4 linked regions of the Tamandua tetradactyla genome follow. The protein of the gene in region 3 purifies or fractionates together with the protein of the main gene of each other region. This does not show direct contact. Links are inferred from orthologs where the notes say so. Each region holds a gene or a part of one and is shown on either strand. Other genes may lie near its edges. The genes, in order: ADNP, EHMT1, CBX1 and ZNF644.

What was found.
Region 1: the proteins of CBX1 (region 3) and ADNP purify together in Homo sapiens (affinity purification with mass spectrometry; 6 studies listed by BioGRID and IntAct, with this or other methods). This does not show direct contact. The link is inferred for Tamandua tetradactyla from reciprocal best matches to the Homo sapiens genes CBX1 and ADNP.
Region 2: the proteins of CBX1 (region 3) and EHMT1 purify together in Homo sapiens (affinity purification with mass spectrometry; 3 studies listed by BioGRID and IntAct, with this or other methods). This does not show direct contact. The link is inferred for Tamandua tetradactyla from reciprocal best matches to the Homo sapiens genes CBX1 and EHMT1.
Region 4: the proteins of CBX1 (region 3) and ZNF644 purify together in Homo sapiens (affinity purification with mass spectrometry; 3 studies listed by BioGRID and IntAct, with this or other methods). This does not show direct contact. The link is inferred for Tamandua tetradactyla from reciprocal best matches to the Homo sapiens genes CBX1 and ZNF644.

The regions. Positions count from the first base shown.
Region 1 is NC_135327.1:2,009,972-2,017,707, reverse strand, and holds the start of ADNP (activity-dependent neuroprotector homeobox protein), read right to left. Parts: upstream 3,007-7,736; 5' UTR 2,905-3,006; exon of another isoform or gene 2,448-2,904; intron 1-2,447. Other genes in the region: DPM1 (dolichol-phosphate mannosyltransferase subunit 1), read right to left, coding at 3,007-3,111, 3,922-4,036, 6,891-6,959.
Region 2 is NC_135328.1:130,278,838-130,286,015, forward strand, and holds the start of EHMT1 (histone-lysine N-methyltransferase EHMT1), read right to left. Parts: upstream 3,012-7,178; 5' UTR 2,974-3,011; coding exon 2,953-2,973; intron 1-2,952. Other genes in the region: ARRDC1 (arrestin domain-containing protein 1), read right to left, coding at 6,479-6,543, 6,629-7,037, 7,119-7,178. UniProt on the Homo sapiens protein: Histone methyltransferase that specifically mono- and dimethylates 'Lys-9' of histone H3 (H3K9me1 and H3K9me2, respectively) in euchromatin.
Region 3 is NC_135332.1:29,359,732-29,366,715, forward strand, and holds the start of CBX1 (chromobox protein homolog 1), read right to left. Parts: upstream 3,017-6,984; 5' UTR 2,796-3,016; intron 1-2,795. UniProt on the Homo sapiens protein: Component of heterochromatin. Recognizes and binds histone H3 tails methylated at 'Lys-9', leading to epigenetic repression. Interaction with lamin B receptor (LBR) can contribute to the association of the heterochromatin with the inner nuclear membrane.
Region 4 is NC_135337.1:33,360,821-33,368,807, reverse strand, and holds the start of ZNF644 (zinc finger protein 644), read right to left. Parts: upstream 3,021-7,987; 5' UTR 2,505-3,020; coding exon 2,453-2,504; intron 1-2,452.

The sequences.
Region 1 (7,736 bases), on a different chromosome or scaffold from region 3:
AGAGCTCTCTAACTCCCACCTGTGCGTGCACCTAACTTTTTCGGTGGGAGGGTGGCACCACAGCCTCCCACACCCCCGCCTGAGGGGAATTATATAATGCCACTGAGGGGCAGCTCTCGCGAGAAGCAGAGGGATTTGCCATCGGCCCACTAGGAGGCGCCGCGGATAATGGCCGCAGTGCGTTTGCAGGGCCCGTGTGCAGGCCGCAGCGCCGGCGGCGGAGGCAGAAGCAGCACGCCGCAGCACGCGGCACTCGAGTCAGGTGGCCGTGCTGGGGATCCCTGCGCGGGCCCAGTGGGCCTGGACTACATGTGGGGAGGGGCACGCGGGCGACCCGGCGGCTCCACGTGCTCGGGGCCCAGCGCAGGCCGGCCAGGGGCAGGGGCAGCGCCGGCTTCGCACGCCGGCCCCTGCCCGCTGGGTCTTCCAGGCGTCTTGCTGCTCTGGGGTAGGACGTTCTTCAGGTCCCAGTGCGGGCTCTTCTATCCGCCTGAGGAAAGCAAGTGGGAAGCCCGGTGTTCGAGGCCTAAGGCCGACACGCGCTGTAGCGGGCCCTACAGGGTGCAAAGGCCACACTGTGTGGTCCTAGGGCCAGTGTGGGCAGCCCAAGCAGCGCTGGACTCCTGCAAGCCGAGGCCAGTCCCAACCAACACACTATCGCCTGGACTGTGGACCTGCATCTGAGAATATATAATTGGGTAGACACTGAAAAGTGAAAAATGGCGACGGGGAAGGATGAGTCTATTTTCTTAGTATGTACTCCGTATACAGACTCGTCTTTTGATTATTTCTCTAAGTTTCAAGTTAAAAACATTTGAAACCATACCTTCAAACCCTATCTCAAAACGAGCCAATTGAAAATGAAATGTAGTTACATATAGAGCAATGTCTTAAGATTTTGCTTAACTGGTTTAACAAAATGTCTTTCATCCAACAGTATTCCATTAATTTCTGTAACTGATAAAATACATCTCTAAAAACCAAACCAGTATTTCAAGGGAAAACAATAGCAGAAAAAAAGTTGGACAAAAACTATCATATGTGGGGCAAAACATTTGATTCTGAGGAATAAGAATGAAGAATCTAATTAGCTGTTGCAGAAGACATGCAAAGGTTAATATAAGCAAAATAATTTTATCTTAAAAGTTCAGTTTTCCTAAAATATACTTAAGATTTTATATTGTGATAATGCAAATATGAAGGGAAAACATCTGTATTTCATCCTTTGCCTCATTTATGAACCAAAAAGGGATGTTCGATTCAGATACAACGTTTAAAAAGATTTTTAAAAGTCATCAGATTTACTAAAAAAATGCATCTGAACAGCCCAGATTCTTTTCTAAATGATTTCCAAATGGTGAAAATTGTCACTGCTCACTTTCTTCTCATTAAATTCCAATAGTGATAGTGTTGTAATAATTGTGGGAATAAGAACTAAAAGATGAGGTTCTCTACTATGGGTTCTCTAAGGTATTTACTTAAACTCTGCTTCACATATTTGACACAAACCTAACTCTGGATTTAGGCTAATGAGAATAGGTTCTGAACAGAGTAGCCCAAAAATTCAGAATATTTACATTTCTATTACCTTAGCTTAAAACTAATAGTTCACATCATCCACTGATGAATTTTCTAGTTATTATTAGTGAAATCCCAATGAGAGAAGTCACATCCCCAAGAAAGGTGGGGCCAGTTGCACAGCCCTGCCCATTAATGGGATGTGTACCCTGGATTCAGCTATTGGAAGGGGGAATATAATGACACCAAATGTTTTATATTCATACTCTGGCATTCATTTCTGGTAGGAACTATTTGAGAGAAATGCAAATGAAAAATCAAACTTTAAATTTCTTCAAGCAGCCAAATTAAGATGGGAAAAGGCAGTAATTAGGAATAGTGTTCATTAAACAGGATTACTACATAACTCAGACACCTCTTCTATTTACTTGCAAAGAAAAGTCAACTTGATCTTAAGCTTTTTTGTTCAAAGTATGTAGTACCCAAATTTTAAAAGGTACATGATCCAAAAGGTGGCTATTATTAAAAATTCATTAACCTTTTAAAAAAAATACCTACCTTTAGAGAAGGTGAATAAACAACATTTGTGCTAGATTTATTATACAAGTTAACCTGCATTTTAACTGGCAGAATACCCTTCTGAATGGAAAATAAAGCTGTCAGGAAGGGACTTATGTCATATGAGTAATGATGTATATTTTGGTGAGGGTATTAAAATAATATGAAAACAAATATTTTGAGAAAAAAATCTTCATAAAAAAATTACCAAAACAGCTAACTTTATGCCTCAAGCTCTTCAGTATTTACTGACAGAGGTTGCTGCTTCTATTAGAAGAGGAAAAAAAGAAAAAAAGAAAAAAAAAAAAAAAAAAACTATGCAATGAACTGCCAGGCTATTTTCAATTCACAGAATATATATTTTAAATACACTTGCTCTAACAGAGGAAATACTTTATCATGGCAGCAGCTGCAAAGACCAAAACCTTAAAATTTTGCTCTAAATGTTTTAACTCATTTAAGACATTTGAGATACATTTTTAAGGACAGGGCAGAGGTATGTTTCTTCCCCCAATTCATACAGGAAACAGCCATATATATTTTATGAATATAATTACTGACATTCCTACTTCTGACATATATTAGATACAAAGAGCTACGGATCCAGCTTTTATAAAGAATATTTCAAAATCATCCTAATATAAGAAATTTGGTATTCACATACTCTAATGAAAGTAGCAATAATTTTGTGCAAAAAATCATACATTTATTTATAGATCTCAGTACAGCAAAATAAAAAAGAAATTGAGGAAAGAGTTCATTTTTCTAATTTAAAATATAAAATGGGAGTTTCTTCAGAAAAAAAGATTTACATGAAATTTACCTTACCTTACAGTTTATGCTCTAAGAGTACATTTTATAAAAATCAGCAACCAGCCTTCTTTTATGTTTAAATTGAAATGAACATAAGTGTAAATGAGTAACTTTCTTTTAAGTAGTAGCAAAAAGAGTCAATAATCCTTTCAAGAAAGAGACTATTTCGTTTCCTCCCAACTTGGATTCACCATAAACACGATCCACAAATGATATCGGAACCTAGTTAAAAAACAGATACATTAAAGTCAATCTTCAAAAAAAGTGGAGAGGCAGAGAAGCACCTAGACAATAGAAACAGCATTAGTCCTACAAAGAAAGTCCTTCAAGTACATTCAGATATAGGGGAGTCTTACAGCAACTGTGTGTACCTCCAAGATTTCAAAATTAGCCATATATTTAATACCTAAACACAGGTCACATGAACCAAATCTGTAACTCTGAAAAGCACCTGTCCTGAACATTAAGTTGGTTTACTCATGTTTCAGGCTGCATTTCAAGGAAAAATTATACCCTTTTACTTCATTCTTTAAGTTACCAGTTAAATTCAGCCCTTTAGCATTATGTTAAAAATCTTAAATATCATGTATCTAATATTTAATATCTAAATTAATACAGATACTCTTCTTCCCCCCAACTGTGTCTATAATTCCAAGTAATTTTTATATGTTCACAGGAAGTGGGCATGTGTAACTCATTATTCATTTTAAAGTAGGTGGCTGTTGGCTATGACAATGAAAATTAATGAAGAGACTCGTCCCACTAATTCTGGCTAGTCAGAACAAAGGGCCAGAATGGACAAGGTATCAGCAACTTTTAGTTATGTAAAATAAATGGTGCCTTCAGTTAATGATTTAAACTTTATATGTCAAAAGTGATCCAAATTTTTAGCCTTGAGAATTGGACATTCTAAACAAGTAGAAGCCTCTCATGTTAGTTTAGTAGCATGAAAGTTAAACTTACATTATAAAGTCTAAACTTGAGTGTTTCTTTATTAGGAATACAACATACTATTCACCATCCATCCCATACCTCGCCAACTGTATAATTCATCTGTCTTGCCCGAACAATCATCTCCATCTGGAAGACATACCCCTTAGAAACACATTTTTCTATTAATTTCTGTAGAACTTCCTTTCGGTATAATCTGTAAGAAATTAAAATAATGTATGAATAAAAATTCACTGGAAATTGTAGAGCCTAAAACTTTCACTAGCAGTTTGTGTATAAAAATTTCTCAGTCAATGATTGTGATATACTTGTCAAAAAAGTCATTAAATATTTGCTAAATAATGTAGAAAATGAATTCTCAATACCTTTTGGAAAATCTTTCTATTATATTATAAAAATCATTTTGAAGAACTTTCATTATTTTAGTTTATAAATTTTCTTAAAATTTACTTTTCAAGTTGCAAAAGAAGAAAATGTTCCAAAACACCATAGCAGTAGAGTTGACAGAAGATGTGGAAGTGACAATATAAACTAGATGCCAAGAAAGAACCTAGTAATTAACAAGATTTTCCTCATCAGCTGAGCTTGGCGATAGGCATGTATAATCGGTGAATGCACAGCCTAACTTTAGATGGACTGCAGCCAAACAGATCTTGCGGGTTTACAAATAAGAGGACCTAGAAGTCTAAGGGCTGTGGACCAGCCCAATCATGTCCTTCAGTCAATAGCACGGAACTCTGTTTTCAGAGTTACCAAGGTCAGAAAATGATCAGTCTCTGAGTAGAGAGGCAGCAATTTCTTTTAGGAAAGCAAGCAGAGGCAGTTTGGGGCAACTCTGTTCCTTTCAACAGTTAAGGTGGGTTGGATCTATGGTGCCTTAGGGTTTAAGCTGTAACCTGTTATTTCCTCAGGGTTCCTCTAAGGTTACTTTACCAGCTGGCTCTGCAAGCTCTTAAGTGGGGATAAGACCACAGCACAGTGTGTGCACTCCTTTACCCAAACAGGTTTCATAAGGATTCAAAATAAAGTAAGGAGACTCTGTTGGCTCTAACAGTTACTCAGTAACAAACACTCTTTGGACAATGTACTGTTTCTGGTACCTCTACATACCTTGGAGTTGTAGCAGTGAATGAGAAACTAAATAAAGATAATATTAATATCAGATGGTGTTAAGTGGGGAAAGGAAGGTGGGTCTGTGGGGTGGGTAAGACTAGAATAGTGAAGGCCCAATATTTTAGCATTACCTTTAAAACTGGGATTGGGCTGTGAATTTTTTCCTCAACTTTAAGAAGTCATTTTACTCCCCTTAAGACTCACTTTCCAAGACATTTATTTCTCCTCACTGTGCCCTACAGCTAATCAGGTAAAATTATATACATGAAGCCATATGACCCAAAAATAAATGGAACTAGGACCAGGTAGTCTTTGCTTTACATCACAATGCATTCTTTTGGGATTCCATTTCTTATTTTGTTAAATAACATGCTTCCTAAATATAGGAAATTTAATAGTAAGTTGAACCTTGCCGCTTATACTTAAGTCACTATCCTTTTGAGGAGACAAGAGCTTTCCACTATTTTGAATAACAGTCAAATTTAACAGGCTCACTTTTACTTGTGTGTGGCTGCTTTGCCATCTGAATAGGACACAGCCACATCACCCCCTCATGACATGAAACCCAGAACTCCCAGGTCATCTTCACCCGCCTTTGAGTCCCCACATGGCTCTATGGACACCCTCACCCCACTGCTCTCCATGCTGTGTTTTTCTCCACAGCATAACCCCCATAAGATACTGCCTATACTTGACGAAGCTGTGGGTCTCACGCCACTGGAACGTGTGAACTCCGTGAGGACAAGGACTTCTGACTCTTGTTCAATGCGTAGCACCCAGTAGATACTCAAAATGAGGGACAAGATGCACTGCTTTATAAAGGCGAGGCGGCCCCCTCTGATGAGGTCAATAGGGAAACCAGGCCAAAGACAAGAACCCCTCCTCCATAAGGAGTGGATCTCCATTCAGAACAATCACACCCTCGGCCTGTAAACCCACATGGACATTCCCTCTGCACAGATATTTTGTGAGTGCCACGATTCTTTCACTGTTGCTATGTAGCAATCAGAGATCTTAATCAGATAACTAATTCCTGTGCCTTGAAGGGATTTATGGGCCCCTACCTTTTATATACCAAATTCTGCTTTCTAGTCAATTTTCAGTTTAACTCTAGAGAGGCTTCACTTTCATTTTGATATTTAATTTGTGATGGCTTCTCTCCATACTTGCTAACCTCTCTCCCTATCGCTGAACGAATGCTGTTCAATAGACTTGCAATTACACTAGAGGTACTAGTTAATCTTTTTTGTTGTTGTTAACTCTGACACTTAAGGACCTAGATTTTCCTGTTTTAAATGAAGGACCTAAGAATTAACATTAAATGGAATAAAGCATATATCAGGTAATGTAAATCATTAACCAAAGCATGATGGGACGTTAGAGTAAATGAACAGACATTTGTAGTTTTAGAGATTAAAAAATAATAATAAAATAAAAATCTAGCAACCTCAGTCTTTAGTCATTTGACATGGCCATACAAAGCAATTCATCTACTGAGGTCTTAAAAAAAGAGACAACAAACACAAACAAACATTAAAAAAAACACCCAGGGACCTAGAACAGCAGGCTTTGGTCCTTTTTTTTTGATATCTGGAAAACAAGGGAACTGAAAAAGGTCTATATAAACATTACTTTAAACTTGTCCGCAGACGATGCAGACCCCCCCCCCCGCCCCCCAGGGACTGAGCACTGATGATAACACCCAACCTGAGCCCTGCCTTCAATGCGCCTTAAAAAAGTCTTTCTCCCTAAGATGATGCTTAGAATTCAGTCAGCTTTCTGGAAAAAAAAAAAAAAAAGAAAAAAAAGAAAAAAGACTCAGGAAAAAAAAGGGTAGAAATGTAAAGATTTCTTTGAAATAGCCACTACAAAGCAAAAGAATTTAGGCAAGAAGTTGTAAATAACAGAAAATATAAAAATAAGAATTCTCACTGTACCTGAAGCTTCCTGTCAAATCAGATGCTCCCGGTCTCAGCAAAATCTGAGTTATAAAATTGGCTCCACGGCTGCCAAGGAAAATAATCAAATCGTCTTTCAAAATATAGTTTATAAAACAGAGAAACATATGCAAACATACGTACTGAAAATACCACACTAATTTCACAAAAATGTTAGTTCACTAGCACAAAGAAATTTTTAGTCAATGAAAGGAAATCTAATACTTTTCATGTTTTCAGAGAACACAGGGAATTTTATTCTTTGAAAAGTGAAATTTGGAGAGGCCCCATAAAGCAACAGTTTCTCCAACTTTAGGTAAGTACTAAAGTAGATTTTTAAAAACCCCTAATCATATTTACCAACAATCATTATTTAGAAATACGAAGATCTATGAAACAGCAAACAGGGATTTGGCAATGTATTTCCTTTTCAGATTCCAATAAAAGAACAAAAGGATTGTTTTCAACTAGGTAATAGGTTAAGTCTGCATAAAATTTTTTTTTCTTTAAAGAAGTAGAGGAAGAATGTTCAGCGTTTTGGAGAATCTCTGGAAAATGACTTCAGACTCATTCCATGATTTTAGATTATGTTTTAAACGCAACTATCAATCAGTTACAAGCTACAGGTGACTAATAGCTCTTACTAACATTTCAAAAATACATCTAAGAGCCTAGAGAACATGACTTATGTATTGCAGCTACTTTAGCATCCTCAGATTCTTTTCTGGGGCAATCTGGAGAGAACAGCTTCTTTACAAAGGAAAGATTTTCTTTATGCACATAAGCACAGGGTTACGCAGATGACACACACAGCCATAACACTGGAATAATGGGTAAAGAAAATAC
Region 2 (7,178 bases), on a different chromosome or scaffold from region 3:
ATACATATTGGATAGATGGAAATACTAGTAGTCAGTGAGAGGGAAGAGTAAGGGGTATGGTATGAATGAGTTTTTTCTTTTTTCTTTTTATTTCTTATGAAGGAAATGCCAAAAGAAACAGCTTATAAGAGTTGCAGTGGCTACTATCCCCTAGAGGGTAAAGGCAGGGAAGAGCTGCCTCTTTTAAAACTGTCTGTTAGCATTGTCTTTTTAAAGTATATTTACAATGCATAATTATGTAATGATACTGTGAGCCAGTGATTGTATACTTCAGATGGTTTGTATGGTGGGTGAGTGTATCTCAATGAAACTGTATTAAAAAAATTAAAATCAAAACATATTTACATATTATTTTTTAGATAATATTAAAGGCAAAGGTAATAACCATCTCACTAGAAAGCATAGTAGGCCTTACGCTGGGAAGGCCCTCCTACCAAAAAATGAGGCAGAAGCCTCAAGTTCTCCCATGGACCCCGTTTCCTAATCCACAAAACGGGACACAGGGTATATATACCCCATCCACTCAGCAGTTCTTTTTAGTGTGAAAATGTGGTAACTATCTTTCTAGGTCAAGGAAAAGAGGAAAGAATGATTAGACAGTTAAGTAAGTTTCAGCTGTCATCTTTACTAGTTTCATCACTGGTAATCAGTGAACTCTAAGTGGCAACAGATGACCCATTCCATAGTATTCAGCCTACACTACACACTGTTCAGGAGAATGACAACCTGGGGCAAGCAGTGCTACAGTACAGATGGATTTCCCCCATAACCTGCTTCCATAATAAACACTTAGAATCATGAAACTGAGACCAGAGTTTTTAAGAAACATAAAATGACCATTTCATTACAGACCTTAAGAAACTGTTCAAAATTAAGAAGATTCTGGACCAAGCATTTTCACAAACAGAACTGTGTTCCAATGACAGCAAGTCTATGAACATACATGCTCTTTGTGCTCTGCAGGCAATCACTTAAACCAGCTCCAAGTAAGTCTGTCCCCCCTGTGCTGGAAACACCCCAGATGCTAGTGACCGGGACAAGCGGTGACTGGAGCAGCATGTGCAGGGGCACTGTGGGGAGATGGGCTGGCTCAAGGAAAACAGAGCAATGAATCCTCCACAAAGCATCACCAAAGGTCCCTGCTGGAAATGACCCTTCCGTCACATCCTTTCCCTCCTCAGATTCAGCACATACTTTGCCAGCATGGGCTTGGAGTCAGACCACCTACATGTTCACCTTTTCAGCCACAAGCTCTGTAACCTTGGGCCTCTCTGGTATGTTTCCTTGTCTGTAAACTGGGCAGCAATAGTACCTACCTGGTAAGACCACTGTCAGGCTTAAATGAGTGCATTCACATAAAGCACTAAATGTACCTAAAAGCAGACTATCATCACTATTGGCTGACAAGCCTCTATTCCAGGATGCCTGTGGAATCAGAGACATCTAGGTCCATTCCCTCATCAATTATTTATCAAGTACCTACTATGTGCCAGATACCAAACAAGTTCTAGTCCTGTAACTGCCTAGGCCAACTTACTTCACCTCTTCCAGTCTTGTTTTGCTCATCAGCTAAACAGGAAATAACAGTATCTACTGCACAGGATGCACTTAATCAAAGAACTTATCTAAAGCGATTGGCATAGTACCCAGGACTCCAGGTACTCAATATAGGATATCACTAATCACTTACACATCTCCCTACTAGCTAGTAAATGACATAAGGCTAACTGATTCACCTCCCTACTAGCTAGTAAGTGACTTAAGGCTAACTGATCTTTTTGTTCCCAGAACCTAATACATTCCTTTAATATTACAGATAATAAATAACTAAAGCATTGAATTTAAGAGCTCCCTTGCATCTTCTCCATTTACTTCTATCAATGCCCCCAATAATGCAATGAGACAAAGATTGTACATTTATCTGAACAAAACTATACTGTTAATTCTATGAATCACGTTACTGTAATAGCTCCTTGTTATACCGTACCTTTCTGATCACTGAAAGTCCCAATAATTACGCCACAAAGAAAAACTAATAGGTAATCACTTTTTTCCAAGTTGTTCACCGATTTCAATCCTGAGACCACACAACTTCTGCTTTTCCATAAGCACACCACCTCCTGTTTGCTTTTCTTTCAGTAGGAAGCTGGTGATGCATCTCACAAAAGTTTAATTTCTATGCTACCACACCGAAGGAACAAACTATCCTTGAGACCGAGCAAGGAGGAAAGCCAGGTTTATCGACAAAAGGAATGTGAACTTTTTATATTCGATGCACTTTAAATCTGCTTGTTTAGAAATAAACTTAAGTCAGCAAAGCTTCCCGTCAAGAGTGCATTTCGGCCTGTGACAGCCACCAGAGACGGAAAAGCATTGTCTGGGGAGCGCTGTGCCAGGACTGACCAACTTTTCCTTGACGATGGTGCCATCCTATTAAGAACAAAGTGAAAGGTCAACAGCAGCCCAGGAAAGAACGAAGGGCAGGAAGCAGCCTCGCCGCTCCTCGCTCCTCAAAGTTCGCCGGCTCACTCGACTTTTCCCTTTTGTCTTCCAGACGCTCCTCGGGGTTCCCACACTCCCAGGCCCACCCAGCAGAAGCCCGGCTCGAGGCGCCCCTCGCGCGGCGCCACAACCCGGGGTCCCGGCCGTGGGCGGGAGACGCGGGAGGCAGGGACGCGCGGCCTCGCCTCACTCGCGACCGGCGCCGGCGCGACCCCCGACCCGCGCCCAGCCCGGCCCGCGCCTCGCACAAAGCGCGCCCGGCGGGCGGCAGCAGCGGCGGCCTCGGCCCGGCCTTGGCCTGAGGCGGCGGCGGCGGCGAAGGGCGGCGGGGGCGCCCCTCAGCCCAGCGTCCGCCGCCGCCCGGCCCCGCCTCGGCCCACCCCCCGCGCCGACCGCCCGCCGCTCCCCGCCCGCCCGTCCGTCCGCTCGCCGCCGGCCCCGCTCGCTCACCTCGGCATCGGCGGCGGCCATGGCCCGGGCCCGCAGCGTGGCCCCGCCCCTCCCGCGCGCCATCGCCCCGCCCGCCCCGCGCGGGGCCAGGAGCCGGGGCGGGGCTGCCGCCTGCGTCTGCGCCTGCGCCCGCGCCCGCGCCTGCGCACTGGAACAGGAGCCGTGGCGGCGCTTGTGGCGGCGCTTGCGCCTGCGCGCTGGGGCTGACGCCGTGGTAACGCCTAGCCTGCGCGCTGGAGTTCGGGCCGCGGCGGTGGCCGGAACTGGCTGCGCTTAGCTGTCCCGGCCCTCGCGGAAGATAGACCTTCACACGAAAGTGGCATTCCCATTTAAAGCAAATATCCTCGCATTTTAAAAAGGCATTCTGGTGGACTTGCCGGGGGTGGAGAAGGATCCGAGTCTCCGACCCCTGACCTCTAACCCGGACACACATTGATAACATTTGCTTTGGTAGAAGGCGGCCCTCCGGTGTTGCGTTCTAGGGTGGTGCCTCAGTTGGGGGTTAGTTCACGGACTGAGAGGGTGCAGGCCCTGGTCGGGGGATGCTCGGGCTGGAAGGTGTGGTCCCGACTAACGAGGGGTGCCCCAGTTGGGGCCGTGCCCGTTTGGGGTGGGGACCAGCTGAGAGAGTAAACTAGGGGAATTGCCCCGAATGTGGGGGGGAGGGGGTTGTGCCTGGCTTGGGGGAATGTCCCAGCTGCGGAAGTTCCCCGTCTGCGGGAGAGTTACTCCAACAAGGGACGAAAAGGTGTCCAAAAGGTGGTTGCCCCCAGCAGGGTGGGAGGGGGGGGCGTGTCTGCTGGGCGAGCTGCCTAGTCGCCCCCTGGTTCCTTCCTAAATACTGACTGCGCAAGGAAGAAGCTCTGCTTGCTGAAGACCAAGGCTTGGGTCCCATCTCTCCCTGCCCCTCATCTCCGAGCTTCCTACCAAGTAGCCCCAAGCCCTTACTGGACCAGCGTGCCCAGCACCACATAAACTGGCCTAGGACACCTCCTCCCACATGTTGGGCTTGAGAGAAGAAGCATGGGCTGAAATCGGGGTTCTCTAGCCAGTCACCGTAGGAATGTGAAGGATGGGCACCTGGCTGGCAAGAACTGAATAAGGCCCTGAGGTCTTGAAGGCACTCAGGACCCCTACCCGTGAATATCCTCCTCAGTCTGGTACTGGCAGCCCACGCCCATGCAGAAGAGGAAGTCGGATATCTTCCCAGCCTTTAGGGCAGCTAAATTGCTCTGTCAAATGCTAAGTCAGCGCATGGCAGGCTGGGGGACTCCAAGTTCTCATAGGGACTCCTTACCCCAGCCCTCCCAGGAGACAGGAGCAACAGCTCTCCTGGCCTGCACATCAAACCTGCCCTGCCTCCCCCACACCTACCTCTCTGGCGCCATCCTCTCCCCCAGCACTCCTGTCCTGGGATGTGCTGTCCCTTACCTGGAACACTGCACTGCTCCCTTCTTTCACATCCTCAAATGTTGCCTCTGTAGGGAAGCCTTCCTTTGCCTCCCCATTTAAAGTTGATACCCAACTCCTAGAACACCCTTGTCCCTATGCCTTGCTGTATTGGGGGCATAACACTTTATGTCTGACTCTCTTAGCCTTTTTTGTTTTTGTTTTGTATTTTGTCTCCCTCACTAGATTGTAAGTTGAGGTGATCAGGAATTTTTGTTGTGTTGTGCCCCTGTGCCTAGGATAGTGCCTGCCATACAGGAGACAAGGTTAGCATTTGTTAAATGAATAAATGAGTAATAATGCAGAGAAAATTCCTTTTCAGGAAATATCAACTGTAAATGTATTTGTCAGGAGGCCACAGGCTCCCTTTTTTCTCCCATTTGCCCAGGAAGAGCAATGGTCACATCTCATGGTCAGCACATGATGTGGTAGCTTAGAGAGGCACTATTCTGGCCAGAGAGTATAGGGGAGCAAGCTGAAGCAAGAGTGCAGTGTCTTCTTCAAGGTCCCAAGGTAGGCAAGAGGCAGAGTGGGGAGACAAACCCAGGTAAGTTGGCTACAGAATGCTGCCTTTCCCGACCACAAGGCTATGCTGCATCTACCAGATATCTAATAAATTATCCCACTTGTGACACTTTTTGCTTTTCTCCAATATTCATCCACTTCTTTTCCCACAAATAAAATTTCATCTGGGCATATGGCTACCTGACTAAAGATCGCAATTCTGTGCCACACTGGTAACAACGGTTGGGCAATGGGATGTGGGCAAAAGTGACCTGACTCATCTTCTGCCTCTCCCTTAAAACATGGAGTCCAAGCCCATTGTCCATTTTCCCATCCCAGTAGGCCGGGTGATGGTGAAAACTGGAACCACCACCAAGGACCCTGGGATGGAAGCCACAATTGTGCAAGACGACTCTACCCCAGGACTGGGCCTACCACCGCTTGTATACGTACAGGAAATAAACTCCTCTCATATAATAGGTGAGGTAGGGACACTTGACCTATCTCCTAACAGTCCCATGGCCTACAGTCCCTTAGCCAAGGTCACCTCTTCACCAGGAGGCAGAGCTGAATTCGAACCAGAGTTCATCACAACCACCACCTGCAGCACTTCCCAGGGTACCCCCAGGACCACTGGCCCCACAGGACATCGGCTGTCATCTCTTTGGTGCAGGATGCCCCTTTGGGAGACCAGGCACTACAGAACCTAGCCTTTTTAGATTGCTCTTGGGGTTTTAGATGAGTCTTTTGGGGGGGTGTGCATGTTCAGAGAATCAAACCCAGGCCTCCCACAAAAAAGGCAGGCATTTTAACCACTGAACTACCTGTGCACCGCCTGGATGACAGTCTTGACATTCAGGAAACTGCAGGAGCAGTACTGCATATGTGTTGGAGCTAAAAAAGCAGTGTCCGTGACAGCCACACTTGACCTTGATGCCAGCAAAACACAGGATGCCAAGAGAAAGGTACTTCTACTGGGGGAGCTGTCTTCGAGCAGGCCCTCCACCCACCCACCAAGTGTTTCCCTATGTGCAGAACTGAGCTGCCAGGAAAGGTGGGTGCCGGAAGTGTACTCTACTCAAATGCAACAGGGTGGTCTTTCTCCACAGCACAAATCATTTCTTCAATTAACTCAGACACTCCAGCAGCAAGCCACAGAGGGCGACCCGAGCGCCAACCCATTTCCTGGACCATTTCCCGGGCTAAAGAGAAGCCCAGGCGCGACGCCCCACCCCCACCCCACAGCAACAGGGCCTGGAAAACTCAGGATTCCACAGCGCCCCCTGAAGGAGGCGGGGGGCGCCCTGAGGGGCAGAGGAGGGCCCCCCGGGGGGCCCGGGGCCCGCCCTTCTCCCAGGCCGGCCTCTGCCCATCTCTACGAATCCAGCTCTTTATTTGCACAAGTCTCTCCAGGGCCAAGCAAGGGGCTCCCTCCCCACCACGCCCGCCGCCGTACGCGGGGAGCCGGGGCCTGAGGCCGGGAGGTCAACCACAGTCGTGGGTCCTGAGAGGCCGGGCCAGACCCGGGGAGAAGGCACGAGGAGCCGGGCTAGGCCCGGGGAGGCCGCGGGGGTCAGCTCCTGGGGCTCGGGCCGCGCTCGCCGCTGCCGCAGCTCTGCTCGTAGGACGGTGGGGCCTCTGCGGGGAGAGAGCAGCGTCTGCGCGGTGCGCGGGGCTCCCGGGCACCGCCCCTGCCCCCGCCGGCGCAGCCGGCCCCACTCACCATCGGGGTAGCCCCAGGAACTGTACTCCGGGGGGAGGATCCAGGCGCTGGTGGCAGGCAGCGGCCCCCCCAAGCCCTCAGCAAAGTAGGGCACTGTGGCACCCGCCGAGATGCACAGAGGGGGGGGCGCAGGGCTGCGCTGCCCAGGGTGGGGCTCGAGGATCGCGGGGCCGGAGGGTGCGGGCGGCGGCAGCGGCGGCTGCGAGGCCTTGGTGGAGAGGGCGGCAGGGGCCTCGAGACGGACGCCCCCGCACGCCGCCGCCCCCTCGTCCTGGGGAGGCGCTGAGGGCAGCACGAGGCCAGGGGGCGGCCCTGGGCCGGGAAGGGGGCTGGGCGGGGCGCGGTTCACAGCGATGTTGCCTATGAAGACCGGGAGGGTCACGGCGGCATCGGGGGCCTTCAAAGAGACCTAGGGGGCGGAAAGGAAGCCGTCAGAGGCCGGGGCCTGAGGCCCGGGCCCCCCCACCCCCCGTCCAAGCCCAGCACGCACCTGCAGGTAGTAGTCGATATGGATGAGGCTGCAGCCGGGCAGGGCCGACTGGGGCAGCGC
Region 3 (6,984 bases):
GAGTTCTGTTAGGTTCTCAATGTGTTAGCTATTATTTTTTAAAAAGGCACAATTTGCAGACAAATTAGGCTGCCCCCTACTGGCCTGCTGATCATAAAAGGTAAAAGCAGAAAAAAATACATTACTCAATTCAAATACTGAGGGGATCTAAATTTTGCCCATATTTGAATAACTTCTCCAGTCAACCTTCGGAAGGCTATTCAATTTCTCAACAGAACTGCCTTTGGGAAACGTTTATTATTATTCAACTCTACACAAAGGGCACCAAGATTTTTCAAGATACCTTTAAAACAGAAAATATTTAAGCTTGACAGCTTGCCGTTGAAATCCAGAACCTGGGGCCTCTCCAACTGCTTTCCTAAAGTATTTAGAGTGGTTATTTACACAGTCTGCATACCTTTTCTGTATTTAACACCAGGGCTATTACATCAGAAACTGAGACTAACACAATACACCAAAGGCAACAGTTTACCCTGCCAAGTATCATAGATCTAAGAAAGGCAAACAATTAATTCTGCTGATTTAACACATGGAGTTCTCAGAAAGGATCTCAAAATCCTATTCATCAACAATCTGAATGGCCCTACTATGTACTAGACACTGGATGAATAATAGACTTGGCCTATCTTTATGGAAGGCCACAAACTGGCATTTAGAATTTTACTCTCAAAATTCTTTAAGACTAACATATAAAGTGAAATACCTATCAAATTTGATGCAAAATTTGTGTTAGCACTACGGACAGTATATGGAAAAGGGAAATCTTGCTGGATAAACCACTAGAAACTGACAAAAAAAATGGATCAAATCTCTTTCCTTTTTAAATAGACAAATTTCACTTTTTTATGCAGTTTTATTGAGATATATTCATACACCATACAAACCACCTGAAGTACACAATCGCTGGCTCACAGTATCAATCACATAGTTGTGCATACATACCCATGATCAATTTTAGAACATTTTTACTACTCTCTTACTCCAGAAGAGAAATAAAAGTAGAAAAGAAAACCCAATCCTCTCATACCCCTTTATACCCCCAATCCCAATTACTGACCTATAATATTGTTGTGGTACATGGTACATTTATTACTGTTGATGAAAGAATATAAAAATACTGTTAACTATAGTCTATAGTTTGCAATATCAAATCTTTTTAAATAAACACAAAAATAAACTCCTAGATCCTAAAATGAGCACAAGAAAATATAATGATGACTTCCTTTCTTTAGATAATCAGTTAGAAAATTATAGGTATCTTGTATTCGAAAAAGCAGGAGGCTAGGATACCGTTACCCTACCGAAAGCCAAAGAAGAATGTCACCACTGGTAAAACCGGAAATGACCGAAGATCCTCCACTGCCCTGAAGCTTCATTAAGGTGAGACCAGTTCCAGTATAGGTGCCCTTCAATCACACCACTTCACAAATCAATGTCTATAAGGCATCTATAAGGCAAAGTCACTACTTTTCTGGCTGTATGCATGCATCTGTTCCAAAACCTGCACTTTTCACACCACTGAGGAAGAGAGCTTACCTTACTCCTGACCAGAGGTTCTAGTATAACAGAACTTTTAAAGTTAAACGAATACACATATGAATATAACACCAAACCATGAAAACCTCTCATCTTTAGCTTAGCATTTAGCCTTCTGGGTTTCTTCGGAAAAAAAAAAAAAGGTTTGCACACTTTATATTCACATTTTGTTTCAAAAGGGAACGCTGGTTAAAAAAAAAACAGGAGCCCCCCCAAAAACTTACTTTTCCTTTTGTCTGCCAGTTTCCCACACCATCTCACAATCTCTCACTACCTCATTTCATTCCTTAACTATTAACTCACCTATACATTTCTACAATTTCAGCATCTGTCGTAAGACCTGTGATCATCCCAGTTCAAAACTTACGGAATGAATCTTGAATCAAAACAAGAGGGGTACTAGGACTCAAACAGAGAAAAAAACAAAACAAAACCCAAAACCTACAAAAGTGAAAAAAGCGTGTTCCATTTCTTCTTCACACATTATTCTTATTGCCTCCCATGCAAGCAAGTGCTGCCAGCTTTCTTTTCCCTTCTACCCCTCACAGAAATACTCTCGAGGCCTCCGCCCCACTTATCCTAACAGCTCCTCCCCTCTAGAACCAGGCAAGGCAAAAACCTGCCCCTCCCCCTTCCAACTCCCTCTCCAATTTATTCAACAATTATTCCCCAATCCCTGTTTACACCTAGTCCAGCAGATCTCTCCAAGTAGCACACCTTATGTTTGCTGCCCACCCCCTCACCCCCCTTACAAGTTACAAGTTTCTTCTCCCTAGCCGGCTAGCGAAATTCCTCCCGCAACCCCGGCAGGACCCAATATCCTCGGGTTACACCTCTAAACCTCGGGTCTCCCAGTTGTCATCCCCTCCCCACGCACACCCGAGCAGCAAGGCTGCCCAGCTCGTCCCGTTCCCAGTTTACTAAAGTGTTTCCAGCCCAATCCTGCAGCTACGCACCCAACTCAAGTAGCATTGTCTCGGTCTACCCAGATCTGGAAAAGTGACCCAAGTGTTTGCCCCCCCGAATCGCTTCAATCACTGGCTCAGATTCGCCGCCCCGCCCTCTCCATCCTTCCAGCGACCCGCACCCGACACTGCGCCCTCCGGAGAGCTCCGCGCGAGAAGTAGAAAGGACCGAAGCGGGAACCCGATCATGCTCCCCACTCCCACCCGCCGCCGCTAACGCGCGGCCCCTCACCCTCGGCTCCTGCTGCCGCCGCGCGCCTCCCCCCGCCTCCCTGCCTCTAGCGGGCTCTTCACCTCAGAGCAGCGCCCAAGAGCCCGAGGGGAATCGGTGCTGCGCTACTGACGCGGCGCGTCGGGCCAGTTGGGGAATGGCGTCCAGGAAAGCAACGAGCCGGGTGGCCGCGGGCGAACCCCTCACTGAGGCGGCGTACCGCAGGCCCCGGCCAACGGCCCTCCCCTCTGCGGAACAAAAGAACCTCGCACAGTGCGCTGCCCGCCTACCGCATCGCGCAGGCGCGGCGACCCACCGCACAGCCCTATGGGACTTGATGTCCGTCCAAGACTACAAGACCCAAAGGACCCCGCGCGACCCACGCCGCCACGCACAAATTGCCAGGGCTTTAGGGAGTTTTAATTTTAAGCAGGAGGGACCGATGTCCTATAGTTTAGAACGTTGCACCCTGGAAAGTTAGAACGTGGTTTACAAGCGAGCCTCATGGGTAGGGCCGAAAATTTAACTATTTCTGGACAATTCTGGAACTCAGTTTCTCTATTCGTTGGATTTTTTTTTTTTTACTTTTTAAAAAATTTCTATTTATTAATTACAACAATTAACAACAAAAAAATTAACATATCATTCTATTCTACATATATATATTCGTTGGAATTTTAACAGGTTCCTCATCAGAATTTTATCAAATCTCGGCCTTCTTAAATCTCCAGTGCTCTTAGTATGGGTCCTCCTCCTTAGCATTGAGTTTACTACTCTTGGAGGCTTTCTCTGCCCCTGAAAACAAGGTTAGGTCCTCCTGCTAGGTAGTCCTAACGGCATCCTGGACTTCCCTTTTTCATTGGCTGTGCCAGTGTGTGGCTGTAGTGCCCACTCCTTCATGAACACGCCTTACCAGCCACCCCTTGCTTGTTGTTCTTTCAGACAAATGTTCTCGTTCTCCTGATTTCAACAGGAGGGTTTGTTTCCCAAACCCGTTCATAAGGAAATTCTGTCTACCATCATAACTTTTACCCCACTTTATTGTCATCAATTAATGTCTGTCTTCCCTCCTGGGCTCCAAGCTCCAGTGTTGTGTGGTTCACCACTATTTCCCCAGTGCTCAATACATCCTCTGCGTATAAGTAGTAAAAAGTATTTGTTGAATAAATGATTAATGACTTAGATCTTCTCCTGCCTGACAGTGAAAATGGAGGCGATCAAGCTTTTCTTCATCTCTTCTGCTCACCTCAGATTTGTGGTTTTTTTACTATCTTCTTTTTCCTACCCAATCAATAACTAAAGAGAACTTCTATCAGGTGACGATAACTCCTTTAAATATTAAAGTAGCCTTCTAATCAGGGGGAAAGGGGAAAGGCTATTAAAATCTAGTGCACTTTACCCCAGAATGAAGAAGTCTGCATTTATAGAACTGTTACACTGAACCAGGCACTGGGCAGGACTCAAGAGAGTTGCCATGTAACAAGCGGACAGTATCTTAACAGTTTTGCTAAGGGGGCTCAGGGAGCATACTGAAGAGGGCAATTCTTCCCAAGGATGTGGGTTAGGTCTTCAGAAAGAAGCAAAAATTCATCTACTCACTCCCTCTTGAAGCATTCTATTCTGTTTTGAAAACTTAAATAATGAGAAAATTAGTCTTAATGACATAGCTACTATAATTAAGTGTTTACTATAGTGCTAGGAATTCTGATAAGCCCTCAATTGATTTTATTTAATTCTCACAGCAGCCTGGGAGGTGGAAATTATTATTTCTGTTTTTCAGAGAAGGCTTAAAGGTTGTATAATCTTGTACCATTCATTGTTCAATGATATTCACAAAAAACTGGTGGAATAAAGATTTGAATTTATTTCTAATTGTAACCGAGAAACCAAGATCTAAGCAATGATTTTGATTACTGAATCATACTGCTTTTTGCTTTCTGGTATACTGGAGTAGACAGAGGGGAATACCCTAAACTATAAATTCAGATGCCCTGATATCGGAAATGATTGTAAAGCTCTTATCTTGGGTCTTTGTGACTGCAGGAGCTGTTACTCCGTTTATTTGGTCATTTTCTTGTAGGGCAAAAGTCCTAATGAAGAATTTGAAGTCAGCCTATGACTAGCTTCAGCCCCAGACATTTTGTAAATCATTTCAGCTAGACTCTACTATTAAAAGATAACTTGTCTCCCTTCCTTTTGGCTTACACCTTTAGTATTGAAGTGAAACCTCTGCCTCCCCTCCTTTCAACTTATGTTCTCCTATTGAAATGATAATGATAACACGTTTCCTATTCTCCTTTGAATTTGCTATTAAAAATGATCTCATCTGCCCTTGTTAAAATCCTTAAAAACTTTGAACCCCCGTAAACTTGGGGAGATAGATTTTGGGCCAATGGGCCATCTGCTCTCCTACTATGCGCCTAGAAATAAACTCTTTGTCTTTGTGTGCTGGTTTGAAAGGAAGCATGCCCCCTAAGAAAAGCCATGTTTTGATATAAATCCCATTTCTTAAGGGTAGAATAATCCCTGTTCAGTGCTGTGTGTTTGAAACTGTAATGAGATCATCTCCCTGGGTGATGTGATTTAGTTAAGAATGGTTGTTAAACTGGATTAGGGGATGACATGTCTCCACCCATTTGAGTGGGTCTTGATTAGTTTCTGAAGTCCTATAAAAGAGGAAACATTTTGGAGAATGAGAGCTTCAGAGAGAGCAGAGAATGCTGCAGCACCACGAAGCAGAGCATCCACGAGCCAGCGACCTTTGGAAATGAAGAAGAAAAATGCCTCCTGGCGAGCTTCATGAAACCGGAAGCCAGGAGAGAAAGCTTTAGCAGATGACACCGTGTTTGCCATGTGCCCTTTCAGCTGAGAGAGAAGCCCTGACTGTGTTCACCATGTGCCTTCTCACTTGAGAGAGAAACCCTGAACTTCATCGGCCTTCTTGAACCAAGATATCTTTCCCTGGATGCCTTTGATTGGACATTTCTTTAGACTTGTTTTAATTGGGACATTTTCTCAGCCTTAGAACTGTAAACTAGCAACTCATTAAATTCCCCTTTTAAAAAGCCATTCCGTTTCTGGTATATTGCATTCTGACAGCTAGCAAACCAGAACACTTTGAAACCCCGGTGTCTCAGGAATTGGTTATTGAGCATGTCGGGCAAAAGAATCCGTGGCCTTTTTCCAGTAACATAATTCCGAAACCATAGTCCTGCCTGAATAAAATGCTGCCATCCTTAACGCCTCACATTGAGCTGATTTCTGTTCCCCATATAAATGCCACATACTTTCCCTAGTTTTAGCTGCTGTAGCCACACAGTCAACCTAATCTCTTCTTTCATGTGGTCTTTCTGGTATTGAATTTGGCCTTTATGAAAAACCTAAGACCTTGCTTTTCTAGGCTGTCATTTCCTTAAATTGTACATCTTGGACAACTGTTTTCAGATATAATATATTTCATTTTTAGGTAAATTCTGGCTCTTATGTTTCAAAGTAGAGAGAGCTATCACTGCCATGGTGCTCTATGCCATTCTTTTTTTTTTTTATTAATTAAAAAAATTAACTAACACAACATTTAGAAATCATTCCATTCTACATATGCAATCAGTAATTCTTAATATCATCACATAGATGTATGATCATCATTTCTTAGTACATTTGCATCGATTTAGAAAAAGAAATAGCAAGACAACAGAAAAAGAAATAAAATGATAATATAGAGAAAAATAAAAATAAAAAATACAAAAAATATATATAAACAAACAAACAAACAAAAAACTATAGCTCAGATGCAGCTTCATTCAATGTTTTAACATAATTACATTACAATTAGGTAGTATTGTGCTGTCCATTTTTGAGTTTTTGTATCTAGTCCTGTTGCACAGTCTGTATCCCTTCAGCTCCAATTACCCATTATCTTACCCTGTTTCTAACTCCTGATGGTCTCTGTTACCAATGACATATTCCAAGTTTATTCTCTAATGTCGGTTCACATCAGTGGGACCATACAGTATTTGTCCTTTAGTTTTTGGCTAGTCTCACTCAGCATAATGTTCTCTAGGTCCATCCATGTTATTACATGCTTCATAAGTTCATTCTGTCTTAAAGCTGTATGATATTCTATCGTATGTATATACCACAGTTTGTTTAGCCACTCGTCTGTTGATAGACATTTTGGCTGTTTCCATCTCTTTGCAATTGTAAATAATGCTGCTATAAACATTGGTGTGCAAATGTCCGTTTGTGTCTTTGCCCTTAAGTCCTTTGAGTAGA
Region 4 (7,987 bases), on a different chromosome or scaffold from region 3:
AAAGAGATTGAGTTAGTAGTCAAAAAACTTCCACAAAGAAAAGCGCAGAACCAGATTTCACTGGTGAGAGCTAGCAAATATTCAAAGAATTAACACCAGTCTTTCACTAACTGGTCAAATAATAGAAAAGAACTCTTCCAACTCATACTAAGACGACAATATTATCCTCACACCAAAAACAAATCAACATCCCTTAATGAATATAGTTGCAAAAATCTTTTTTTTTCTATTTCTTCTGTGTTTTCCCTCCTCTTTTTGATTTCCCAATTATTTTGATGAAGCCCACCTTGTACTAACTTCTTGAGATACAGTGTATTTGAAGTAAATATTCTAACATTTCCTATTTTTAGTCTACTCCTACACTTGGTAGGGTATACACACAGGGTATATAGAATTAATAGTTTGGAAAAAACTCTCCTTCAGAAATTTGAAGGTATTATTTTATTTACTCAAGTATCAACATTACTGAGTACCAATCCTTTTTTATACATCCCATTCCTCCCTCCCCTCACCTGAAATTTTTGAGCCCTCCCTTTATTTCTGGTGTCTGAAATTTCACCATAATGTGATTCTTTATTTCAGTCACTATGTTTGGCATTCTGTGAGCCTTTTCAATCTAGAAACTTAAGGTTTTGCTTCAATTTTTCTTAAACAATTCCCTACATCCGTTTTCTCCTGTTCTGTAGTTTTAATCACACCTATGTTAAACCCACAAGTGTGATCTTTTTTCTTATTTTCCCCTATGTTACATGTGGGAGATTTCCTAAATTTTATCTTTCAACCTTCTATTATGTATTTTATATGATAAATTTTCAAACATTGAATTACAATATTTCTCAGTCTAAATTTCTAAGGTTAAATTCAGAAAAAGCTATGGGAAGAATATCAAATAATCAAACTTGATAATAAAATTGGTGAATCAGGCTTGGAAAATCAGATGAATAAGGAGGCGGTCAGGCATCCTATTTAGGATGTCACTGCATAAATGTCAATGGCACTGTCACTGTAAGACATTTACTGCCACAGCACAAAATTTTGAGTGCTACCGCAACCACTGAAAATTATCTCTAACTTCACCACCACCGTTCTCTCCTTGCACCAGTTTACTAGGTTAATCAATAGATAGTTCCACGGTCACCCCTGCTCACCCACACTATTATACAGAAACCCCAAATTTCAGACATGTATGCAGAATCTCTATTTCCCAACGAGAGTGAGTAGGGGAAAATGTATTCTTTTACTTTAGCTGTTTTGCCTCAGTAGTAAGCTTAAGAGTCAAATGTGCCTGTTTTGCCATGTTGCCAGAAATCTCACCATTAACTTCTTAACTGAAGTTAAGTCTATATTAACTGTGATAACAATTAAAATGTAAACTTGTTATGACAAATATACTATCTTAAAAATTTCATTAACTCCGAAATTTCTGCTATATCTTCTAACTCTAATAAAAGCAGAAAAGATTTTAAAATATATGTTACTTCTGTGATATTTCATGTTTTTCTACTTCTACTGTAAAAAAGGTCTTCATTCATTATAAAACATAGCACACTTTCAACTTAGGAAACCTTAAAGTCAACATTAAGAAAAACATATCATAAATATCAAATACTACCACCACCCTGAGGGAACCACAGTTTAGGGATTTTTATTTTTCTCATAAAAAAAGCAGTATGTTCCCAAATGCTCCTAAATTTTAAACAAATATCTACTTAAAAATAAATTGAAACACTGGTAGTTCATATTATTATTATTATTTATTATTATTATTTTGCCTGGGCAGGCACCGGGAATCGAATCCGGGTCTCTGGCATGGCAGGCAAGAACCCTCCCTGCTGAGTCATGATGGCCCACCCCAGATTATTAATTTTAATTAACCTGTTTTCCCAACTGTCCCTCTACCAATTAGAATGTCTCTAGAACCACAGTTCAAATGCTCAAACCTCAGCATTACAGTTTACATCTTCTCTTTCCGTTCATCTAAAATATTTTGTACTCAAAAGTACCTGAAATTCAGAAAATACTGCTATAGCATAATTTTCTTGTGTTTTACTTATTTTTCAAATCAAACTTTAAAAAAAAACCTCAGGTCAGTTTTTTTTAATAGAAAAAGGCAGATGTATCTCAATTAGTGTTAATAACAATGAAAATTTTCTCCAAGTAAATTTATGTTCAATACCAGAAGATAATAAAACTATTCCATTCTTATTTTAACTTTGCACTACAAACTTAGGAGCCACAATAGAAATCTACTTTATTTTTTATTTGTGAATATAACATATATACAAAAAAGCAATAAATTTCAAAGCACATCACAATTTCAGTTTGGTATGGGTTACAGTTCTACAATTTTAGGTTTTTCCTTCTACCTGCTCCAAGACACTGGATCTAAAAGAAATATGATTCAGCTGTTATACTCATTTGTTAAATGTCATTTTTTCTATTATAACTCCACCTTCTCCTTTGATCTTTCTTCCCATCTTTAGAGGTATTTGGGCTATGTCCATTTCAACTTTTTCATGTTGGAAAGGGCTATTGATAATATAGGAGAAGGGGACAGAACTAGGTCATTTTCTGGAGAAGATGGCCCCTCTGGGTTTCAGGAATTATCTGGCCTAGGAATCCATCCAGAGGTTCTAAGTTTCTGGAGAGTAATCATAATGCATGGAACCTTTGTAGAATCTCAGATAAAACCCTAGCTGTTCATTAGGGTTGGCAAGAAAGGTGTGGATTGGGGTTTAGCAAACCATGATAAACAGCAATATGTAGCTAAAGTTGCATAAGAGTAGCCTCCAGAGTAGCCTCTCGACTCTTTTTGAACTCTCTCAGCCACTGACACCATATTTGCTACAATTCTTTTCCCCCTTTTGATCAGGAAGGCATTGCTGATCCCATGGTGTCAGGATCAGGCTCATCCCTGGAAGTCATTTCCCATATTGCCAAGACAGCTTTCACCTCTACATGTCATGTCCCACAAAGGGGAGAGGGTAATGATTTTACTTGCAGAGTTGGGCTTAGAGAGAGAGAGGTCCTCTGGAAGTAACTCTTAGAACTATAGGTAGGCTTAGCTTCTCTACTAAATAAATAAATTTCACAAGAGCAAGCCTCAAGATCAAGGGCATGGCCTATTGACTTGGGAGTCCCTAATGTTTGAGACAGTACCAGGAGTTTCCTCATTGGTAGAGTTTAATAGTTCCATAATTTTTCTCCCACCCCTCAAGGGATTTTGCCATACTTTTTCAGTATCTCTCATCACACTCTGGGACGTATCCGTGCATTACATTAAGCTATACAGAATTACAAGCCCTTATTCCCATTCTGGGTTCAATGTGCTTGGATTGTTGAAATCATCTATCCAAACAGATTGAATTAGATTATGTGCTACAGAAAATTTAAGTTTTGGACAAAATAAACCTCTCTTCCTTTGGTGTCGCAGAGTAGGTGAAGTTCTAAAATGCAAACAATGTCCTCCTTACCCCCGTATTCTGATTTAATTTAGTCCCCACCTGTTTTATTTTAAAACTACCCATGCTACCTTCATATACTCATCGTGAACCAAGACATTAACTTCCTAACAGACCTTCTTCATACCAATCTTTTCTCCAATTATATTACTTGACTGTTAATCCCTCTCCTCTTTTCCTCATGCAATTCTGCTCAAAGGCTTTCAGTAAAACTCCTTATTTCTTTCTCATAAAACTCCTTTAGATTCCTCTAGCTCAAGACACAATCTTATCAAGTTTATTTTTCATTATATTTATTTCAAATAAACTCTACTTCAGCCAAGGAAAATGCTTGCATTCCATAATTCCCATCTCTGTGCTTTTTTTTTTTTTTTTTCTTTTTGGTGCATGGTCCAGGAATCGAACTGGGTCTCCCATATGGAAGGCGGGCATTCTAATCACTGAACTACTCCGTGCTTTTAAACATGACTTTCTCATAGCTGACAGTACCTTCCCTCTCCACTAATCTACACATACCACTTTTTCAATATCTAGATAAAAATTTTTGCCAAGAGGTTTTTTTTAATTAATACACTTTCTATAAACCATTCATTCATATTATTTTGTTTCACATAAGCTCAGTAATTCAAATATTTCCCTAATAGGTGCTCTTCAAATCACGTTTTAGATCAGGAGCTATTTGAAGCACTGTATATGTGCATATTCCTAGTGAGACAGTAAGTGAATTTGTATAATAACTAATAAACATTTAAACAAGCAAAAGTGGGGAGAAATATAATGACACAATGCTTTTCCGAATATAAAAATTCAAATCTCCCAATCCCGAATTCAAATATAACATTCATTTTTGTCAAGAGGAAAACATATACTGTTCAATGCATTTCTTCCTACATATAATTAGTACCATTGTAATAATTTTGTTTGTAAGTTTTGAAATCTAGCCCAAATAAGCTATGAAGAAAGTTTTGATATTTTGTAGATAACAAGCATATACTTTTTCAATTCCTAACCTAATTCTGCTTTAGTCTTCTATACTTCACAAACACAAAACCTACAATAAGAAAAATTGATAGATGAGGTTTTATTATTTCTTTAAGGAAACTATTAAAATTCTTGAAATAGGAATATATTAAATGTACTTTAGTTTTAAAAATTGTAAACAAAGCACAAAGTCCAAACATACAACTTTTTAATAGAGTAAATATTTTCATTCATAAACTCAAAAGCACTCATAATCCAATGCTGAGAAATTCTTCATGCTCCATTCTGCATAATTTACAAAAAAAACTCCAATTTTCAAAGCTAAGCATGTTAAAATATGAAGACATATTTTCATCATTACATACCTTTTACAACTTTTTTTAGTAATACATATTTCAGAACAAAATCAAATTTCTCCCCAAAGCACCAATTTAATATTGTTATATAATAAAAGCTTCCAGTGCTCAGTATTTATGAAAAATAATGCTGCTAACCCATTTTGAAAAAAAAAAACAAACAAACTGATTGAAGACCTAGAAATAAAAACCATGATCAACAATTCTAGTTTCAGTTCTCACTTTATGAAATCTCCTTCACGGGTTTTAACCAGTGAATCTTTTGTGCAATTTGCCTTAGGGTAATATCCTAATTATTTACACACAAATAAATGCCAAAATCTTTCTCATTCTAAGGTGGATACAAATCTGTAAACAGTAGTACACCAATTAATTTCTATCCCTACGATCACAATAAGAAATACCCAATACTTTATTAAGCAAATATGAAATCCTGAAAGCTAAACTTACATATTACCTACAAGCTACTGTCAAAGAGGATCCAAAATGCAACTACATTAGGGGGCAACCTAAGACCTCCTCCACCTCCTTCTTGGCTATGTGTTTAGAGAATACTGTACTAAAAGCAAGCCAGATAATTTATGTTACCTGTGAAGGAAATTCACATCTCTCCATTCTGAACAAACACTGAAATCATAAGACTAGCCTCTAAAGAGTTATAATAGTGAAGACTAAGGATCTCTCTAAACTTGGCATAATCAAGATTGGGGGAAACAAACAAAAAACCGAAATAAAACAGAAGGGCCACGGTTCCAGCTACCCATCGTCTGTTTTACCACCTGTACAGGTTTGAAACTGTCCCGTACCCCAGAAAGGCCATACTCTTCAATCTTTATTCAGTACTGCTGGGTGGGATCTTTTTTTGTTTCCATGGAGATGTGACCCACCCAATTGTGGGTGATAACTTCTGATTAGATGGTTTCCATAGAGATGTGTCGCCACCTATTCAAGGTGGGATTGCTTACTGGAGGGAACCATTTTGGAAAAAGCTTCAGAGCCAACAGAGCCCACATAGCCAGAGACCTGCAGACAGGCAGAAGGAAAATACCCCCAGGGAAGTCCTATGAAATGAGGAAAGAAAGCTAGCAGACACTGCCATGTGTCTTACCAGCTGAGGAGAAACCCTGATGGGCCCTTTCTTTGGAGTTAAGTTATCTTTCTCTGGATGCCTTAGTTTGGTCATTTGTTTTGTCTTAGAATTGTAAACTTGCAACTTAATAAATTCACCTTTTAAAAGCCATTCCATTTCTGGTATATTGCATTCCAGCAGCTTCAGCAAACTAAAATACCAACAAATTCACAAATACCAAACAAGGATAGAAGAGAAATAGACACAAGCACCAACTCTCACTACCCTTGAAAAGGAGGACAGATATGCCATAATTAAGTTCAGAAACAAGAAAACTAATTTACAGAGATAGAATTCAGAATAGTGGTTACTTTTGAAAGGGGACTGACAGTAGGCACAAGAATCTTACTTCCATTTAGTAAAAGGGGACCCAAAATGTTCTGAAAATGTTCTATATCTTGATTTGGGTAGAAGGTACCTAGATTCACTTATATGTAAAAATTCACTAACCTGTACTCACGATTTGTACACCTCACTATGTGTAAATTATGTCTAAATAAAACATTTAAAAACAGGTCACCAATAACAAAGTATTGGCCAAACTGAAGAACCTTTTCTTAGTTCTCACCCTATTTAAAAACTCTCCATTATATTACCATAGAGTATCAATATTCCCTAAATTTCTCTTTAAAGGCCCACATGGCTTTGCTAGTAGAGTTTCTCTAGCATTTTTGGTATTCTGCTTCATATTAATTCTATTAAATATTCATCAAGTACTCAATTTATGACCATGGATTAGGCACCCTCAAATACACACACACACACACACACACACACACACACACACACACACACACACCCCACAATATACAAACTAAATTTCCTAAACCGGGTTCAGACTATTCTATTATCTGCTTTCAAAATATATCTCTTGCTTTAATTTCTATCTCTTCTTTACAGGAACAGTGTTCTTCAGCCTTTAGTCTCATACTCTTGACCCAGTCATCTTTTAAGGCTCAGTTCAGTTTCTACTTTACACTTTGTCCATACTCCTACAGCACTTACTAACTATACCTGTGCTGTCCCATACTGTAGCCAGCAGTTTTATGTGGCTATTGAGTACTTGAAATCTGGCTAGTCTGAATTGAGATATGCTTTGTACTTAAGATACACTAGATTCTGAGGACCAAGTATGAAAAAAAGAACATAAACTATTCCAATGCTTATACTGATTGTATTTTGATATTTTAATACTGTTTTTAAATAAAACATATCAATAAAATTAATTTTACCTAAGTTTTTATTTTTAATGCAGTTACAGAAAATTTTAAATTACACTTATGACAACTTATATTTCTATTGGGCGGTACTGACTTATACAATCTATTTATAAATGCTCCAATTATCTTTTGATGTATATCATCCTCCCAATGAGAATGTAAGGACTCAATACTCTTCTTTCATTAACTACAATTTTCTTTTATAATTAAAGATTATGTTAAGAATTGCTAATAGTAACTACCCATTTAATTTTAATGTCACTCAAGATTTTTTTAATAAAGAAGTTTAAGTCATTTCAAAGTGTAAAAATACAAGAAAAATTCTGTTTTCAGATGGTTATAAACTGAATATATCATCCACTTTTACTTTATCCTGTTTTAAGTTAAATGTGCTATAAGAAAAGGTAGCATTATTAAACCTGCAGCATGCTTAGCCCCACAAATTATTAGTTCTGATTAAGCTTGAATTTTTTCATATTAACTACTCAGTAAAGAAAAAGGCAGCTTCCATTTTGGCCAGTATCATTGTACCAATGTCCAGCCAAGACAAAGAGTCTTTATGTGATGCTATGAATAAACAATGTGGACAATAAAACACCACTTGAAATAAGGGTATACAGAAAAATGCTTCTGTAACGTTTTAAGAACAGGAATTTGAAGAACAGGAGATAAAACTTACAAACTGTTGAACAACTAAGTAAGATGACAACACAGGAAGGTAGAATAGAAAGGTCTCATTTCTAGAATCAAGACATGCCTAGTTCAATGCTTAGCTGCTACCGCATTAACTCTGTGTGACCCAAGTCTGAGTTTCTTTCCTTGCATGTAAAATGGGAATAT